Drosophila melanogaster: one gene and its partners. The gene in region 1 interacts genetically with each later gene. Each region holds a gene or a part of one and is shown on either strand. Other genes may lie near its edges.

Evidence for each region.
Region 2: of Arp3 (region 1) and Cip4, changing one enhances a phenotype caused by changing the other (phenotypic enhancement), as found in Drosophila melanogaster (one study listed by BioGRID).
Region 3: of Arp3 (region 1) and alpha-Cat, changing one suppresses a phenotype caused by changing the other (phenotypic suppression), as found in Drosophila melanogaster (one study listed by BioGRID).

The regions. Positions count from the first base shown.
Region 1 is NT_037436.4:8,111,891-8,118,636, reverse strand, and holds Arp3 (Actin-related protein 3), read left to right. Parts: upstream 1-2,734; 5' UTR 2,735-2,911; coding exon 2,912-2,955; intron 2,956-3,048; coding exon 3,049-3,229; intron 3,230-3,292; coding exon 3,293-3,607; intron 3,608-3,843; coding exon 3,844-4,380; intron 4,381-4,440; coding exon 4,441-4,524; intron 4,525-4,585; coding exon 4,586-4,681; 3' UTR 4,682-5,230; downstream 5,231-6,746. Other genes in the region: msk (moleskin), read right to left, coding at 1-90, 304-480, 544-1,041, 1,097-1,332, 2,108-2,197; Nulp1 (nuclear localized protein 1), read right to left, coding at 5,465-5,625, 5,923-6,143, 6,199-6,525, 6,593-6,746. UniProt on the Drosophila melanogaster protein: Functions as ATP-binding component of the Arp2/3 complex which is involved in regulation of actin polymerization and together with an activating nucleation-promoting factor (NPF) mediates the formation of branched actin networks.
Region 2 is NT_037436.4:4,360,131-4,366,628, forward strand, and holds the start of Cip4 (Cdc42-interacting protein 4), read right to left. Parts: upstream 3,845-6,498; 5' UTR 3,733-3,844; coding exon 3,618-3,732; intron 2,998-3,617; coding exon 2,897-2,997; intron 1-2,896. Other genes in the region: mRpS6 (mitochondrial ribosomal protein S6), read left to right, coding at 4,571-4,615, 4,682-5,080; CG33514 (uncharacterized protein), read left to right, coding at 5,366-5,670, 5,730-6,360.
Region 3 is NT_037436.4:23,334,028-23,340,707, reverse strand, and holds the start of alpha-Cat (alpha catenin), read left to right. Parts: upstream 1-2,607; 5' UTR 2,608-2,661; coding exon 2,662-2,833; intron 2,834-5,967; coding exon 5,968-6,344; intron 6,345-6,680. Other genes in the region: ND-MLRQ (NADH dehydrogenase (ubiquinone) MLRQ subunit), read right to left, coding at 1,028-1,174, 1,232-1,273. UniProt on the Drosophila melanogaster protein: Associates with the cytoplasmic domain of a variety of cadherins. The association of catenins to cadherins produces a complex which is linked to the actin filament network, and which seems to be of primary importance for cadherins cell-adhesion properties.

The DNA of each region.
Region 1 (6,746 bases):
TCAGTAAACGACATGATGGGAAAGATCACGTCCTGGATGACAGCCACCATGTGAGGCTTAATCAGCTTCCAGGTGTAGGCGTGGCTAACCCTGCAAACGGAATAAATAACATTTAAAAAAACGAGTCAACTGATTGGAATCGACTTTTGTAACTGCAATTATAAACACTACATCTTATCAGCTTTAAAAATTTTCAGACTTTCTATCAAAGATTAGGTATCTCCTAATTAAGTAACATCGATTTTACATTCCAACTATATATCAAATGTCACATGAGAATTTATAGAATACTAAATTACTTACGCATTCTTCAGATAGTTGAGCACATCAGTGAGGACGCGTGGTGAGACGTAGACTCTGTTTCGGTACTGGTCGAGGATCTTGAGGAGCACCTCCAGCACGCCCTGGCTAAACGTGGGCAGATACCACTCTGCGAATTTTTGGTATTTTTCACTAACCACATTGCTGGGACTGCCATAACTAAATTTATACATACAACGTTAGTTATCTAGACTATGACTATAGATACTGCCGTCAACGTACCGCTCGAACATGCGAACCATGATGTGCAGGGCCCACTTCTTAGTCTTCCAGTAGGGGAACTCCGTTCGCTCATCATCGTCCAGGTGCGAGCTATCGGGCACTGCGCGATCAGCCACCTGACGACAGATCTCCATCCACTGCGAGAAGATCTCCTTGGTAATGAGGTCCAGTGGAAGGGTGTATTGCGTGAGGGCATAGTAGATCTTGAGAATTTGCTTTTGTAGCAGCACAGATTGCTCGGACTGCTCTGCCAGCAGTCGGACCATCAGCTGGTAGATCATGGGCAACAGTAGGTTCATTGCCTCGTTTAGCGGCGTCCTCTCCTCATGCCGCTTGTACTCGTAGGTCTTGACCAGCTGGTACATGGTTACCAGAGCTCCGTTCCAGCCGTTGACATCCTGGTTTTGCAGATATATGCTGATGCTATCCACCACCTGTGGCCAGCGTCCAGGGAAATCGCTTTTAATGATGTGATTGACGCAGACAGACAACTGGACCCTGTGTACAGAACGAAATTAGCCCCCTGGAAAGGATTTTCAATGGATTTACCCACCTAATCAACTCGGGGGCGTGCACAATAGCATCTACAATAGCGCCACGGATCATAGCCCGATCCTGTTCGTGTATAGAGAAGGGTATTGGCTCTCCAGGCTTGGCCTCGTGGTCCGACCAGCTGCTGTTGATCAGATTCTTGAGGTAGACAGCACCGGCCTGGCGCACCGGCTGTTCCACCGTCGTCTGCATAACGATCTGCAGTATGGTGGGCACAAATCCGATGATTTTGTGTATCTGTGGGGATTTTAATGTATAGAAATAAAATAGAATGGATATGTTTACACAGCTGTTTGGGGTTGGGTTAAATTTGAATTGGTCAAAGAATCAATGGCAGAAGCACTTTAAATTCCGTTCACAGAGCTCAATTAATATGGAGGAGCCAAGAACAACTGCTGGCCATAAGCGCTGATAAAGTTAATTGACAACAGGGGGGTTGGTGGGAGGCGATTGGGAGGGGCATGCAAATCGTTAGATGCTGACTCAGTCGTAATGAGCATGCCTCTACAGTGGGGCCAAAGCAATTGGTTAGTGGGGTGGGGTCTAATTAGACTGGCCGCTCTGATTGCCCACATTTATTTCCAAGGGAATTGCGTAAGCTTCAATCAAAGGGCATTCCGGCGATATTTCGAAAGTCTCAATTAAATATTTATTAACAATTCAGTGGATTTCCGAAGAATCACACGAAACTCGCAATAAATATGTACACATATAGAAATATATATAGCATACATACATATGTAGGTGCCCCAAAGATATCGACTTGTTGCCTCTGGGGCAACAACATAGAAGTCGGGATAATGGTAAACACATAAAGGGCAAACTTTTTGACCGATATCGGATTACACTATCCACACCCACACACTTGTACAACGACCAGAGTGATGAAGTGCGGGAGCGAGGGAGGTTAAAAGCGAACAATTAAAAAAGCACATGGTTTTCAGGCGATGGCGCCACCTCCAAAGACCTTTCGAATTCAAGTGCAGGCGTTTATTTTTGGGAGCAAACTCACCTGGGCCAGTTGATCCTCGGCCGCCTTGCGCTGTTCCGGATTCGGATCAATAGTTGCGCGCAACAGTTCCGTGAGTTTTTGTGCCTCCATTTTTGCTACTTTTGCTTGATTCTATGTTTCGCCGGTCTTTCTGCTGCACTTCGTCGTTTGGCGGTCACCTTGTGCCCACTGTGCACCCGCTGTTCTTGCCTTTATATAGACCTTGGTTTATGCTAGCCGAACCAGTGGCTCCAATGTGTGGGCCAAATTGCAAATCTCTTTTTCCGGAGGAAAAAACGTGGAAAAGACTCCACACACGCACACACACACCGCCGAAATTCGCGAGACGAACGAAGCTTAGAAGAAGAAGAAACAGCGCCTGTGTGTGTTGACTAACGCCGCAGTGTATGGGGCCCTACAGGGCTGCATTATGTTCGCCGGTAACAGTTTAGCCAAAAATTCGAGCAATATTGAAAAGCCTTCGCTGCGGAAAATCTAGGCACCATTTATATATAGACCACTTGCTTCATAAGGTAACTATATTTAAAGGCTTAAAAAACAGCGACTTTTCACAATTCCCGATAAATTGCCATTCAAGTTGCATGGCCAATCGATTGTTGCAGCCCTGGCAGCTGCTCGTACGTGAACACGCGAATGTGTGTGTGACGAAGAGCAAAGTGACACATAGTTGGAGGTGTGGTTGAAAATATATAGAAATCTGGGTTTATCTGCAACTGAAACGAAGGGAAATTTGTGTTAAAGGCGAGCGAAGATCGCAACTGAAGAGCTTTAACTGGCAGCAAGGCAAAAGGACGAGCAGCGACCATGGCAGGCAGGCTACCGGCATGCGTAATCGATGTGGGCACCGGGTGAGTTTTTAGTTTCGATTGCCCGTGGGGGTCTCCAATTGGACGGAAAGGAGGTCGACTGACTAACACTCTGCTTGTCTGCACATCCATCAGCTACTCCAAACTGGGATTTGCCGGGAATAAAGAGCCGCAGTTCATTATTCCCTCGGCGATTGCCATCAAGGAGTCGGCACGAGTGGGAGACACCAACACACGGCGCATCACAAAGGGCATCGAGGACCTGGACTTCTTCATCGGCGATGAGGCCTTCGATGCCACCGGCTACTCCATCAAGGTATGCTCTTGTATCTATGGTCATTAAGCAACCGACATCACATTTATCATTGCATTCCAATAGTATCCGGTGCGTCATGGTCTGGTGGAGGACTGGGACTTGATGGAGCGCTTTCTGGAGCAGTGCGTCTTTAAGTATCTGCGCGCCGAGCCTGAGGATCACTACTTCCTGCTGACTGAGCCGCCGCTAAATACGCCCGAAAATCGGGAGTACACCGCGGAGATAATGTTTGAGACGTTCAACGTTCCTGGTCTGTATATCGCCGTCCAGGCGGTGCTTGCCCTAGCCGCCAGTTGGGCCTCCCGGTCCGCAGAGGAGCGTACCCTTACAGGCATCGTGGTGGACAGCGGCGATGGAGTGACGCACGTCATACCCGTGGTAAGTAGCACAGATCTTATCTTATCAGCAGAGTTGGGTTGGCACTGGATTCGGTAAAAACTGTTTGAAAAGAGAACCCAAAACCGAAACAGTCGACGGATTTATTTAATAAATAAATAGCACATTCTGAGGCTATTATTAATACTACAGAATGTTATATTAAGAGGGAATTATTAAGATAAAATAGCGTATTAGTTATAACCATATAAATATATTAAGCTGTTTTTCATTTCTAGGCCGAGGGCTATGTGATCGGCTCCTGCATCAAGCACATTCCCATCGCGGGCCGCAATATCACCTCGTTCATCCAGAGCCTGCTACGCGAACGGGAGGTGGGCATTCCGCCGGAACAGAGCCTCGAGACTGCTAAAGCGATCAAGGAGAAGCACTGCTACATCTGTCCCGATATCGCCAAAGAATTTGCCAAGTACGACACGGAGCCGGGCAAGTGGATACGCAACTTTAGCGGCGTTAACACGGTAACCAAGGCGCCGTTCAATGTGGACGTGGGCTACGAGCGATTCCTGGGACCCGAGATCTTCTTCCATCCCGAGTTCTCAAACCCCGACTTTACCATTCCACTGTCGGAAATAGTGGATAATGTCATCCAAAACTGCCCAATCGATGTGCGGCGTCCTCTATACAATAACATTGTTCTGAGCGGTGGATCAACGATGTTCAAGGACTTCGGCAGGAGGTTGCAGCGAGATATCAAGCGATCGGTGGACACACGTCTCCGGATCAGCGAGAATTTGTCCGAGGGACGCATTAAGGTGGGTGATATCACAGCTGCTAATGAGTCATACTTCTTACTTTGATTATTTTTGTTACAGCCAAAACCCATTGATGTTCAGGTGATTACGCACCACATGCAGAGGTACGCCGTGTGGTTTGGAGGCAGCATGTTGGCTTCAACGGTAAGTTATAGTGGCCTAAGATCCGTAAAATCCTTTATCTCAATATTCTTCCCATTTCTAGCCCGAGTTCTATCAGGTGTGTCACACGAAGGCTGCCTACGAGGAGTATGGCCCCAGCATTTGCCGTCACAATCCCGTCTTTGGCACCATGACATAATTGATCCGATCCAATCGGCTTGCAGCAGTTATTTTTGATTTATTTTTCCATTTAAAATTGATTTATTGATTTATTCTCCAACTATATATATATATATATACATTGCGATTCGGTATTCCACGCTAAAGTATTAGTAATTATTCTTTTCTATATGTGTTTAGCTATTAACTCTGTGTAAATCAGTTTCGTTCTGTTTAATTTCGTGTGATTTTGTTAGGCTAACTATAAAGCAACAACTCCGATGTCTGCCAGTTCAACCCCCTATCTAAGGTGCATTATTTCTAGAAGTCGACTTTTATACCATACTCAAACACGATCACACACAGTCACACCGATCTAAGCTCTTGGAGAAATCCCGGCTCTATACACAATTAAATACGAAAACGCTCTACTTGTCATAGAAATATTTATAATTGCAATAACTGCAACCAATTCAAACACTGAATGAACAAAAAAGGAAAAACGAAAAGAAATATTGATGAGAAATCTGTTTGTTATATTGATAAGCGTAATTAAAAAGGCATTAAATAAATCAATAAAACATTCTTTAAGCTCAAACACTTTCGTCGCTTTCGATCTAAAGCTTTTACTGGAAAATTTTATTCAATGCATAAGTTACATATATATATTTTTTTGTGTTCAAATTGCTCTATGTATTGTATATATAAATTTTGTGACGGTGTCGCTAAGCTGAGAAAATAGCAAAAGGTGGTTTCCAAAAAACATGTCCCGAGCTAGAAATCCGAAACAACTTCGTTACGCCTCGCGTAATTGACAAACTGACTAGTCAATGTAGTCACTGGAGCCCTCCTCCTCGTCGTTGCTGCTCGTGGATTGTGCCGCCGCCGTTTCCGGCGAACGCAAGTGCTCTGCAATCCGGAAGTTTTGCAGGAAGTCTCGCATCGCGTCCATCATTAGCGTTAATGACTGCTGCAAACCAGCTTCTGCAATAATGTTGGAGGAGAAGTGTAACTACGATATCCGCTAGCGATTCTTTTGGAATTTCAGCATAATTTTAGGTTAGATTTTTGACGATTTTAAGAATGAGAAACAAAATATCGCTTTTAGCCAAGTTATTGAAACAAAAGCCAAAGCTTTAATACAATTTCGGGATATGAACGAAATTAAGCAAAGCCATAATACAACCAGCGAAACATATTCTAAGATTCATGCTCTGTGACGAAACGGGGGCGACAAAATCGGTTTTATCTCAAGATATTTTTAATAATGCTCATACGAACCTTCTCCTTCGCCAGCTACGCCGGCAGCTCCTTGTTCAATGCCCACTTCAATGTTAGCATCGCCTGCAGCTGCTCCCGCACCTGCTGCTGGTGCTGCTCCTTCTTGTAGCTGAGCATTTGCAGCTAGGTTGTTAATGTTAAACGAAGGCAAGAGCGATTGAAAGAACATTGACACAGAATTGTTCGTGTTCGTTGTGGGGCTGCTGCTTGACGAAGATTTTCTGCAAGTACTGGTTTTTAGAATTTACTAACTTTGAGCCGATTCGAACGACATACCGATGATAGCAGTTGACGCTGTTCGGTGGCGGCAGTGGATCATAGGTCATAATGGCTTGCTTCTCCTTGGACACGAAGACCGCCAGTGGAACTTTCTCCTTGTAATCGGAGAGTATGACATGTCGAAGAATGGGCCTTGGTGGTGTTCCACTATATCGCAGTGATCGCTTCTCCTTGTACTCATTAACCAGGGGATCCTTACTCTCAATGCGATCTAACACTATGTTCACGTTGGATTCCAACCAGGGTAGCACCTCGTTCTGACGCCAAACGACTCTTGCACGGCACACATACAGGCACACCAGCTGGTGCAGGGCGGGCGATTGACTGGTAAACAAGATAAGACATTAAATTCCATACCACTAATCATTCACGGAGATAAGACTCCACTTACTTGCCCGACACATCTGCAAAGAAGTACGATGAGGCCAGGACCCTCTTGTCCGTTTGCACCGACATCTCGTCCAAAAGAGGACGTAAAACACCCGGGAACATTAGTAGGGCGTATTGCAGTGCCTGGTTAGAGCGTTCACAAGCGCCATAGAGCG
Region 2 (6,498 bases), 3.8 Mb from region 1:
GCCCAAACGAAACATGAAAAGAGCGTCAGAAAAAAAACAGCTGTGAGCCGGAGAATGCCCATAGACAGAGCGGAAAAAACAAAAAAAAAAATAAATAATAATAATAATAATAATGTGGAGACCCGGCACTGGGAATCCGATGGATCGAAGTGGAATGTGGGGTCTTTGGCGAAACAGAACGCAAACTATGAGGAAAATAAAAACAACAAGAAAGCAGATATATCCGAAAAATATACATACATAAATATACATATATATATGTGTGTGCAGCACATATTGAATTGAGGCGCACGCTGCTGCTGCTGGCCGTGCTCATATGGCAGTAATTTACATAAAACCCGCAAAACCAGTTTTTTTTTTTATAAAGTTTCGAGTTCCAACTTGGTCGGCAGACGGAAAGAGACGGCAATGCAGCGGCTGAGAGAGACGGACGCTTTAAGCGTGCGTTCTTAAAACATTTGCCTGCACTTTGGCTTATGGGAAGCAATTTGTTAAATTCTCACTGCTCGAGCATTTGAGTGGATTTCCTATGGGTAAACCGATGACATTGAAATAATAATTAATTGACACGCTTAAGTTCACTGAGATTGGGTATCCAATTAGAAAATGTAGGGTTTTCTGACAGGAACAATGTGTCAGTTGGTTTTAAAAAACCGGAATTTCGAGCTTATTTTCTGGTAGTTGTAAAATATTTGAGAAGTTTAATTGCATTTACCAAGTGCTTGGCAAAACAAAAATGTTTAATTAATTAAAATTGTGTGGCTTGCAATTTGTAATTTTTGATGAGTGCTTACAATTTCTTAATAAGACCAATGTTGTCGTTTCTATCTATATTTTAGGTTTGGAGCCTTTCAATATATATAGCCTATCTGAAGATAAGCGCCTCTTTAATATCCAAGAATATAGGAGGTAATGGAAGCTCAAAGAAGCTGGGGTCGGAAAAATCGAATTTTTGAAATTTGAAAGCTGGAATCGTTTGCCCATTTTTTGCCCATGTTTGCCCACCAATTAGTTTTTTTTGCCCACGTCCAGTTTTTGAGATATGAATTTTCGAAAAAGTTCGAAAATTTTCGAAAATCAAAAATTTCGCTTTTTTCAAATTTTTTTTTTTTAAATCGCAATAACATCGTTTGCCCACGTTTGCCCACCCTTTAGAATTTTGAAAAAATTTATACTTTAGAAAATATAAGGCTTTTAAGTTTACCTCGGTCTAATCAGAGAGTAAATCGTTTGCCCATCTCTTAAAACCAAATATTATCAACAAAAAACGTTTGCCCAACCATTATTATTAGTTTTTATCGTTTGCCCACCCTTTAAAAAACCTTTAACAAAAATTTTTTTTCGATTGCCCACACTTGAAATACAACTAATTTCGTTAGCCCACCTCTTCAAAATAAAACTTTTCAATAAAAAACGTTTTCCCACCATTTAAAAATAAATAATTTCGATTGCCCACCTTTTAAAACTAAATAATTTCGTTTGCCCATCCTTTAAAATTCATTTTTAACGTTTGCCCACCCTTTAAAATTTGTTTTTTTCGTTTGCCCACCTCTTAAAAATGGTTTTTTCGATTTTTCACCTATTAAAACTAAATTTGTACATATGTACATATGTAATAATTGTAAGATGTGGCGCCAAAAGCACAGTTACTTACAAAAGAACAGTTATTTACATATTTACATACATTTTCAATATATCCATAGTGTTAATCATTCATGAATTGTAACATCAATTTTTCTTAATCATTGTTTCATTTCATGGAAAATATTTTATTCCAGAATTTTCTTGAGCTTGGAGAGTGTTGATAAACATACATACATTTTTTTGCATATATATTATATTGCAATATAAAATATTTTCCATGAAATGAAACAATGATTAAGAAAAATTGATGTTACAATTCATGAATGATTAACACTATGGATATATTGAAAATGTATGTAAATATGTAAATAACTGTTCTTTTGTAAGTAACTGTGCTTTTGGCGCCACATCTTACAATTATTACATATGTACATATGTACAAATTTAGTTTTAATAGGTGAAAAATCGAAAAAACCATTTTTAAGAGGTGGGCAAACGAAAAAAACAAATTTTAAAGGGTGGGCAAACGTTAAAAATGAATTTTAAAGGATGGGCAAACGAAATTATTTAGTTTTAAAAGGTGGGCAATCGAAATTATTTATTTTTAAATGGTGGGAAAACGTTTTTTATTGAAAAGTTTTATTTTGAAGAGGTGGGCTAACGAAATTAGTTGTATTTCAAGTGTGGGCAATCGAAAAAAAATTTTTGTTAAAGGTTTTTTAAAGGGTGGGCAAACGATAAAAACTAATAATAATGGTTGGGCAAACGTTTTTTGTTGATAATATTTGGTTTTAAGAGATGGGCAAACGATTTACTCTCTGATTAGACCGAGGTAAACTTAAAAGCCTTATATTTTCTAAAGTATAAATTTTTTCAAAATTCTAAAGGGTGGGCAAACGTGGGCAAACGATGTTATTGCGATTTAAAAAAAAAAAATTTGAAAAAAGCGAAATTTTTGATTTTCGAAAATTTTCGAACTTTTTCGAAAATTCATATCTCAAAAACTGGACGTGGGCAAAAAAAACTAATTGGTGGGCAAACATGGGCAAAAAATGGGCAAACGATTCCAGCTTTCAAATTTCAAAAATTCGATTTTTCCGACCCCAGCTTCTTTGAGCTGGTAATGGACACCTTAATGATTCTGATCAAGCTAAACTACGAATTTGTTTTGATTTTTAGCTATAGGTATACATTCATACTCCTCAAACAAGCAGAACTATGTATTTGTTGCTTATAGGAACCCCCTGTTTTATCAATGAAATACGACTTCTTATCTGAAGATATAGCCCCTCTAAATCCAGGAAAAACTCACCCATAGCTCGGTGCCCCAACTCATGTTGTTGGAGTTTTGCGCTGAGTTTTCCGATTCGGCCAGTTTGTTGTTGCTGCTGCTTCTGCTCGATCCGCTTGCCACTGTATTTGTTGTTGCCGTCGTTGTTGTTGTTGTTTTAATAATAATAATCCACAGAAGATAATGTAATCCACAGACGATGAGGAGAGAGGGAGAAAGGTAGAAAGCGAGGGAGAAGAGCAAAAGATGAGAACTTTTATTCGTTTTTGTTTTATATTTTCCCGCAAAGGTTAATTAATTTTATGGCTGCTTTTTCGTTTTCATTTTCCGTTTGTTTTTCTATATTTTTTTCAGCGTTGCGCGGCGCGATGTTTAATTTTCTATGAAAGAGAGCAATTCGAGTCAGATATATTTCATTTTTGTTTTTTTTTTTTTCGGTGGTTGGGCAGGTAAGAAAGCATGTAAAAACAAAAAAGAGTGGCAATGCAGACGTGTCAGTTGCAGCGGCAGGTAGAAAAATGAAGTTGAAGGAAATTATAGATAATGAGAATTTAAACACTTTTTTTGGGAGTTGTTTAGTGATAAGTGCAAAATAAGAAAATTCTATGCACTGGCATTTCGATGCGCAAAGAGAGTGAGGAGAGAGAGGGAGCGATAGAGATAGAGAGCGATGCAACTGCATTTCATAATTGAGAAAAGCAGAAAGAGAGGACAATTGGAATTCTACTATTGTTGTATTTACATAATTTCGCACACACACGCACACAAGTAAACGCAATTGCCGAATGCACGCACTCTGCTTCTAGATCTGCCACCGTTTTTTTTTTTGTTATTTGTGCTAACTTTTTTTTTAGCATTTGCTTTGCAGTTGCAACTTCTTTCGATTTTGGGTTTTATTTAGCGCCTGCACTTTCGCATGCGTCATAATTCGGGCGACATTTGCACACACACACAAGCACACAGTTAAAACACCCGCACTCACACAACGCAAGCATTTGTTTCTCCTTTTTGGCGTGCGAAAAAACAATTTTATCCGCTCGCAACTTTCCGCTCGTTTTTTCACTTCGGCATCAATACACAGTGTGACCGCAATGTGTTTGAATAGGCACACCTCTGCGTTTGCAGTGTGACCAGAGACCGATGGCGACCTAATTTCTAACTCTTTAACATCTAGCGGGGATATGAACCCATATTGAGAGCAACTGTAAAGTTTAATTATTATTATATAAAATATATGAAACTTTCGTTAATACGTGCCCCCATTTTTTTTTATAATTTAACGTTAATTGTAGACTTTTTAAATATATTATTGTGGCCTTGAAAACTAATAATTTTATGGAATAACATAACGTTGAAACAGATGAAGAAAGCTATTATTGAGCTTGGAAGAAACTTCTTATTATTGTTTATTGCTTTTAAAGTAACAAGAGCATCGCTTATTGTTGTATATAATATATTAATTTGAACATTAAATTCACTGGAGCAATAGATTTTGGCACACTGTAAGGTGTAAGCATGTGCGCCAGGCGCTAGATCATTTTTAGTACTTTCCTTGCATCAGCTGTTAACACTATCAGCTGGTGGGTCAACAATTACATTAGATTTACTAACTTTTTAATGAATTAAAACTTGAGAGAAACAACGTTAATATAAGAAATTAAATTCCTTACCAGCTCATACAATTCACCGGTCACAATGCCTTCTTACGAACTAGCACTGGTGCTCCGCCAATTGCCTCGCGTGAGTAGCACATGAAATCCACCGGCAGTTACATAAAAGTAAATAAGAATTGTACACCGCCCGCAGCCCGAACTGATTTCCGTGATTAGGCGAACGGCCGAGTCCATCCTGGACAAGGGCGGCATTATCCGGAAGCTGGAGAACCTGGGATCCCGCGCCCTGCCCCACAAAGTCAGCGAACACGGGGTGGTTCACCGGGAAGGCACCCACTTCACCATCGCCTTTGATACGGCGCCCACTAAGATCGCAGACTTGAAGGAGGAGTTTGGCCGCGACATCGACATCATACGGCGCTACATCTTCAAGGTGGAGGAGCCCGAGCAGAAGCCCTGCACGCTGCACGAGGAGATGCTGCCACCCGCGTATCGCAAGGATGTGCAGGAGATCATTGCGGCCGCCCAGAAGAAGCAAAAGAAGAAGTTCAACTACAACTCCGGCCTGGACTACTATCCCTTCCAAAAATAAAACACCAAATAAAACGCGTTAATTATGTATGCTAAAACCGGTTGTGGGTTCCTCGATCTTTGGCTAATTCAAACTGAAGCATTCCTTATGAAATGCGCCTGTTATCTTAGTACTTTTCACAATGTTTGTCTTTGTTTGGTTTATGGCGCCCAATCGGACGCTTATCAATTAATTGATAAAGCTCCGTATAATCGACCATCAATAGAACGTAAATTGTCCAGGTAGTGCCTCAAGAATCGTCGAGCAGTTCACTAGTACTTCCTCCTGACCGCAAACGACCTAGAAATGTCACCGCAAATCCGTCCACTTACGCCAGAGCTGCAAAAAGTTGCCAAGGAGCAGCTCAAGGAGGATCCCGAACGTCTCGAAGCCGATCTGCAGGCGTTTAAGACATGGATCGAGCAGCAGCCGCATCTAAATCCCCGAATGGATGATCAGTTTCTGGTGGCTTTCTTGCGCGGCTGCAAGTACAGTTTGGAGCGGGCCAAGTCCAAGTTAGATAAGTACTACACGCTGAAGACCAAGTATCCGGACTATTTCCGAGTTACCAACACCACGGATAGCAAGTTCCGGGAGATTCATCAAACGGGGTAAGGATTTTGACGCCAGCTAACTAATTTAATTTATCAATGCAATTCTGTCAATTCAGTGCCATCATCTACCTGCCCACTCCGCTGAATGAAAATGGACCTCGCATCGGGATCTGGCGCATGGGATTGGTGCCAGTGGAGAAGTACACAATGCTGGAGTGCATGCAAGTGGCCCAGGCAATGCAGGAGATTGCCATTTTGGAGGACGACTACGCCAATGTCAATGGAGTAGTTTTCATTATGGACATGAAGGGTGCCACCGCCGCACACTTGTTCCAGATGACGCCGTCGATGGCCAAGAAATTCACTGTCTTCTCGGAGGAGGCACTTCCACTGCGTCTGAAGGCACAGCATTTCATCAACACCATCACCGGATTCGAGCAGCTGTTCAACATGTTCAAGCCAATGATGTCCAAGAAAATGCAGTCTCGCCTATTTGTGCACGGCAACAAAATGGGGCTCTTGACGGAGCAGATTCCACTGAAATATCTGCCCGAGGAATACGGCGGCGAGAATGGCACCACGCAGGACATCGTGGCCGCCATGGAGAAGAAGTTGGACGAGTACGCCGATTTCTTCCAGGAAAATGTGAACTTCGGCACCGACGAGAGCCTGCGTCCCGGAAAACCAATCGATTTTGAGGGGCTTTTCGGAGTAGAAGGTTCCTTTAGAAAGCTCAACGTGGACTAGTTTCAGTTTGTAACTTTAAAGATTTTATTTTCTTATCAGCCAGTTGAAAAAGTTGTCCAATTTAGTGGCTAGAAAACACATTCGCATCAGTTGAATTGTAAAATCCAATAGTAGGAATGATAATATAGGAATACATGA
Region 3 (6,680 bases), about 15 Mb from region 1:
ATAGTTTTAAATAACTAGATTATTATAAAATTGATAAAATTAAAGGGTTTGATTGGCGTTTAAGTCGCAATCACTACATATTGAAGCATATCCCTCTTCCTTTTTATTTAAGGGTTGAATTATTCCTTAATACGCACTAATGACACCCCATCATTTCTTAATTTCACTTATTTTACCTATTTACCTAAATTACCCATATATATATATATATATACATTTTTTCTGCCATAAAGAATGGTGAGTATGGTGTTTTAATAATTTGTTATTAGCTAGTTGATATACGCAAATATCTCCGTTTAGAGATTGTTAACAGGCGGTGTTTACGGTTATTGGGAATTGTTTTGCGAGACAAATAATAAAAGTGAAAAAAAGTATCACTGTACAAAATAGTCGACTTCCTCGACTATCAGATACCCGTTATTCAGCTAGTTAAAATGCCATAGCGAAATTTCATGATTTGTCTGGGATATCGATAGATATTGGTGAATAAAATTTTTGGGAAATCAATCAAAATTTAAAAAACTAATAAAAATGTGAAAAAATGTGGCAGTTTTTGAAGATTTGTGGGCGTGGCAACATAGGCCAACAAACTTGCGCTGCGGGTATTTCTCTAGAATCTGTATGCTTAATCTCAACCTTCTAGATTGTATAGTTCCTGAGATCTCGACATTCATACAGACGGACGGACAGCGTCAGATCGACTCGGATATTGATCCTGATCGAGAATATATAGGCTTCATATGGTGAAAACTCTGCCTTCTACCTATTACATACTTTTCAATGAATCTAGTATAACATCTTACTCTACGAGTAACGGGTATAACTACAACTACAACATAGTATATATTCGTGAAATATATATGTGTAATGGTTATGGCATGTCGGTTAAATCGCCAAAAAAGTAAAAAATTGCAAAAATACATATATCTATAAGCAAATTTGGTTATTAACAAAACCACGGTCGAGGGCTTTTCTTGGCCCATTAAAATATGAAAATAGAATATGAATATTAAGGAGCAAATCTAACCTTGTATTGCTTTTCTTTGTACTCTTGCCATGGTTCGGGATTTGATGTGCGATTCCAAGTGACATCGGGATTACGAGTAGCAAGTCGAGCCATATAGTAGACGGCTCCAATAGCTCCCGCTCCAACGCACACATAAAGTGGAATTAACTGAACAAATTTTTGTTATGCAATCAACAGATAACTTAATATAATCATAAAACTTACAGCTGGATTTTTTTTAAGACTTTGCAGACCAAGACCTTGCATTTTGTCTACGTTATAATTAAAATGTATTTAATATGTAAGAAAGAAACACATTTATAAAAAATTACCTAACTTTACTCAATCCAATAAAACAGAATGGAACTATATATTAGATATGGACATATTTCGATGCCAACAGCGATGTCATCGATGTTTTCCAAACATCGGCAACTCGATGTTGACTCAAACATAAAAATATATGTATTCATAACAGGCAGATGTCATATTATTTTATATGTGACATGCCAGTATTAAGCGATGCTGGTATAGAATGGGAACTCAAAAATCATGCACATAAATATTTTTTTTTACATCTAAGGAATATATTATTTTATATACGTAATTTTTATGCATGCTTGTCGCACAGGTTTTATGTTAGGCTGTCATAATAATTTCAAGCCGCCGGGAACGATATAATCTTCTGAAGTAGTCATGCATTTTTGTTACATTTTGTTTATATGTCGAAAGGATTTTTTTTCAATAATAACAAGAAAAAATGCTATGTAGACTTTCCCGACTATTAAATATCCGTTACTCAGCTAGAGGCAATATGATCGCGAAATATCATAATTTTTCTGGGACACGGATAGAAATTGGTGAATGCAATGAGAAAATATTTAAAATTGTTCAAAAATGTGGGCGTGGTCGTTTTTTGGTCGGTTTGTATCGTTAGAGTGGGCGTGGCAAAAAGTTTTATGACAAATCAATAGAAATTTACAAAACTAATAAATATATGAAAATATATATCAACACAATTTTCAAAAGTGTGGGCGTGGCAGCGTTAGGCGTTAGGTTAATATCATATGGTTAATCTAAGCTTTATAGCTTATATTGTTCCTGAGATCTCGACGTTCATACGGACGGACAGACGGACACGACCAGATCGTGTCGACTACTGATCCCGATCAATTGTTCCAATGCTTCCATCAGCCTATTAGGAACTTTTAAACGATTCTGGTATACCCTATTACTCTACAAGTAACCGGTATAATAATAAACATAGAAAACAACAATCCTGATATGTGTGGAATATGTTAATTCATTAAATGAAATATTTTTGTTGGTAAAAATTAAAAATATTATTAAACTTTTCTCAATCGTCTTCAATACTTGAATATCACATATTTTTCACGAGAGTTCAATCATCAAAAATCAATTTTAATTATTTTCTTAAAGTCATTACTAAAGAATGACTCACAGGACTCAAAACTACAAAACTATTTAACTTATTCATTATATATTGGTTACGTTACGTAGGTCATGTGGCTCAGTGGGACTATGATATATTTAAAGCCCGCATTCTTTACAGCACTGCAAAGTTACAATCCTGGTACTATTAATAATCAGTGGACTACATATTATCGAAAAAGGCGTCGTCGGTTAAAGAATTTATGTTAAAACCTGATAAAATGGGCACGTTAACCGATTTCGGACAGATAGCTTTGAAATGGGATCCCAAAAATTTGGAAATTCGCACAATGTCAGTTGAAAAAACACTTGAACCCCTTGTATTACAAGTAACTACTCTTGTAAATACCAAGGGCCCAAGCAAAAAGAAAAAAGGTAAAATGTTTATAGCTTATAGTGCCTAGAAAACCTAAATATTAGAACTTTCAATTTTAAAGAAACTTTTTGCGAGTCGTGAATAACTGTGCGTATACTCATTTTAATTTTATTAATTATAAGTATTGTGTACATACGAGAAATGATAGAAAATGTTCTAAAACGGCTGTGTATACTATACATACATATTGTGACATCTTAAATTTTGTAGGATAGAAAGCATTTGAATTCATGTAACAAGCTTAAAACTGAAAAGGAATGTGAAAGCATCTTTTACCTCTTTAAACGCAAAATTGCGAAAATATAAAAAAATAGCCTATTAGTGATTTACATATATTTTGATTGTGTTTCATTTTGTTATATGTATATCTTTCCAATTTCTATCGATATGCAATAAAAATGTTCAAATTTATAGTTCGCTTGGCCACTAGCTGAGTAACAGGTATCTGATAGTCAAGGAAATTTACTATGGGGTTCGCTGTAATATATATTTGTTACTCGTAAAGTAAAATGGGGTACTAGATTCGTTGAAAACTAAGTATGAGGTAGAAGAAAGCGGTTCCAAAAAAAAAATATATATTCTAGATCAGGATCAATAGCCGAGTTGATCTGGCCATGTCCGACTTTCTGTCCGTATGACAAAGCGTTTTCATATGAATTCATATTTTCATTAGTCTTTTAAATTTCTATCGATTTACCTTTTTTTTTTATTAGAGTTTATCATTTATTATTAGTCATACGTCAATAGGAATCGTTCAGTTCCTTCTGAACTTAACCTAATGTGTAGCTTAAGAGATATGGATTCCGTTCCTTAATTAAAGTGTATACAAATGTACCGTGGAGAGAATCGATTTATCAAAAAACGTTTTGCAACGCCCACTCTAACGCCCAAAAATTGGTTTTCACACAAAAATGTTTTGGTATTTTTCATACTATTTTATTGATCTTGTAAATCTATTGATATGCCAAAATACCTATTGTCAGGCCCACAAACCGCCCAAACTTTTTGAAAAATATATTTCTTGTTTAAATATAATTATTTCTTTTTCAATTTTTACCGATTTTCCAAAAAAATTGAAATCTTTCACACTTCTAGTTGAGTAACGGGGTATCTGATAGTCGGGGACTCGGTTATAGCATCCATTCCAGTTTTTGTTTTAAGTCATGTCAATTCTTTTTGCAAAACCATTTTGGTCAGGAGAACTATATACAGAACTATCACAGGATGTAAACAGCTGTCAGGCCCTTAAAATACAATAAATTGTTACTTCATATTATTTAATTACTGTTTTTATACCCGTTACTCGTAGAGTAAAAGGCAGAAGGAAGCGTTCCCGACCATTAAAAGTAAATATTTTTTGGGCTGGCTCCAGCTCTCTTGAATTTTTGTTCAAGAGCCAGATTTCGGAGAGCTCTTCAGCCAGCAACTTCATTTTACGCATACAGTGACAGCCGAAAACTTTTTGTGTGTACACGAATACTCATGCATTGTAAATTTGACAAAATATGCCCTACACTTCAGAAGTTTTTGGAATTTAAATCTATATTATTTTTGGTCAATTGGCATTATTTTAAAAATAATTTTTTCCTATTCGTATTATTTTTATGAAATATATTTTTTTAAATGTATTAAACTGTATGTGTTAAACTACAAAAGTAATAATAACTATTCCATATCGCAACTTTTTTTCATTTATAAGTTTAAATATTGATGAACCTAATATTAATGCTGTAAAAAAAAACTTCTCCCAGTCCCCTGTTGAAAACTCCAAACATGTTAATTCGTTTCTTAGATCAAAATTGATTTCGGCCCGAAAATCGTCTTCTAGCACAAGTACGCACACATATACACTTTCACGTTTAAACGTTACTCACACAAGCAACCAAAGTCTATTATTTTACGCTCTCAATATTATTCGAGAGAAAAGAGCACAATCTTGGCCGTCACCAAACAAGTAGCTGCTTAGTGAAAAACCAATGTATGGCCCTTACGCATCTTGTTATTCTAGTGTCTTTGATCTGACCCTGTCCGCCCTTCTGTCTGTCCGTTCGTATGAACCTCGAGTTCTCAGGAACTATAAAAGGTTGAGATTAAGACATTTACGCAGCTCAAGTTTGTTGACCCATGTTGGCACACCTATTCTACCGCCCAGAGCTGCTACGCCTGACCTTTGGAAAAATGTGAAGTTTTTTCATATTTTTATTAGTCGTGGAAATTTCTATAGACTTGCCAAAACTGTATGGTAAAAGAGTATACCAGATTCGTTAAATTCCGACTATATAAAGTATATATATTCTTGATCAGGATCAATAGCCGAGTCGATCTAGCCATGTCCGTATGAACGTCGACACATTAGCTAGAAGGTAAAGCCGCCCTAAAACCGCCCAAAACTGACACGCCTACATTTTTGAACCATTTTTCTATGTGCCTAAAATTTTTTGCCACGCCCACTCTTACGCCCTAATTTTTTATAATTTTTTTAGTCTTGTAAATTTTTATCGATTGACCAAACACTTTTTTTCGCAAGTGCGAGAGTACAAGATAGATAGAGGGCGAGAGAGAGTAGCTTAGACAACGAAAGATAATCGCCTATCTGAGATGCCGTAGAGCTTAATGTTGTGTCTCCAAAGTTGGCATGTTTACAAATAAGAAATTTAGGCATTGCTGGCTGATGCAAGACCCGAAAATCGATTTTATTAATGTGATCATTTGATCATTACTTAATGCCGTTTTGTTTTCTTATAAAAATCTATTTTCGCTAGCCCCATTGCAAACGATTTTTTTTGACGAAGCGTAAACAATTTCCTTGGCCTTGGAATCAAATAAGTTTAAATCAATTATAGTATTGAAAATGTGTGTTGAATATTGCATTCTGCAAAAAAACAGATGCCGTTCGAATTAATAGTATTTAAGGCTCGTAGACTCGGCGTTTTCCATCTTAAACTTTAAGCTGTTTGGCAGCTTCATTTAGGTAAGTTGACTCATTTGTAAATTTCTTTGGTGATCGAGAGGAAATAATCAACTTTTACATATATATATATTTAAGTGGTTTAAAAATATCAAAAAACGTATAAACATTGTCGAATAATCTTCTCAATTTTAATAGTTTCTAATTTGTATTTTGTATTTGCAGGAAAATCAAAGCGGGCCAGCGCATTAGTTGCAGCTGTTGAAAAAGCTACAGAAAATTTTATTCAAAAAGGTGAACAGATCGCTTACGAGAACCCAGACATTACACAAGAAATGTTAACAGCTGTGGATGAAGTAAAAAAAACTGGAGATGCTATGAGCATTGCAGCCAGAGAATTTTCTGAAGATCCGTGCAGTTCCCTGAAGAGAGGAAATATGGTGCGCGCAGCTAGGAATCTGTTGTCAGCTGTAACCCGCTTGCTGATTTTAGCTGATATGGTTGATGTACATTTGCTCTTAAAATCACTCCACATTGTCGAAGATGATCTAAACAAACTCAAAAACGCTTCGAGTCAGGACGAGCTTATGGATAATATGAGGGTATGTGTCGGAATAAAATAAAGAAATATTATTATCGTATATGAGAGCAATTCTATGTTTTGCCCTCCTATAGTCTTCGATAAATGAGTTTTATTTGTAACCAACACAAATTTATATGCTATGATTAATATTAAGCATGCAGAATTCAGTGACGCAGACTACAATTTGTATTATACCCGTTACTCGTAGAGTAAAAGTTTATATTAGATTCGTTGAAATGTGTGTAACAGGTAGAAGAGAGCGTCCGTATGTCCGTATCAACGTCTCGATCTCAGGAACTATAAAAGCTAGAAGGTTGAGATTAAGCATACAGATCTTAGACACAGACGCAGCGCA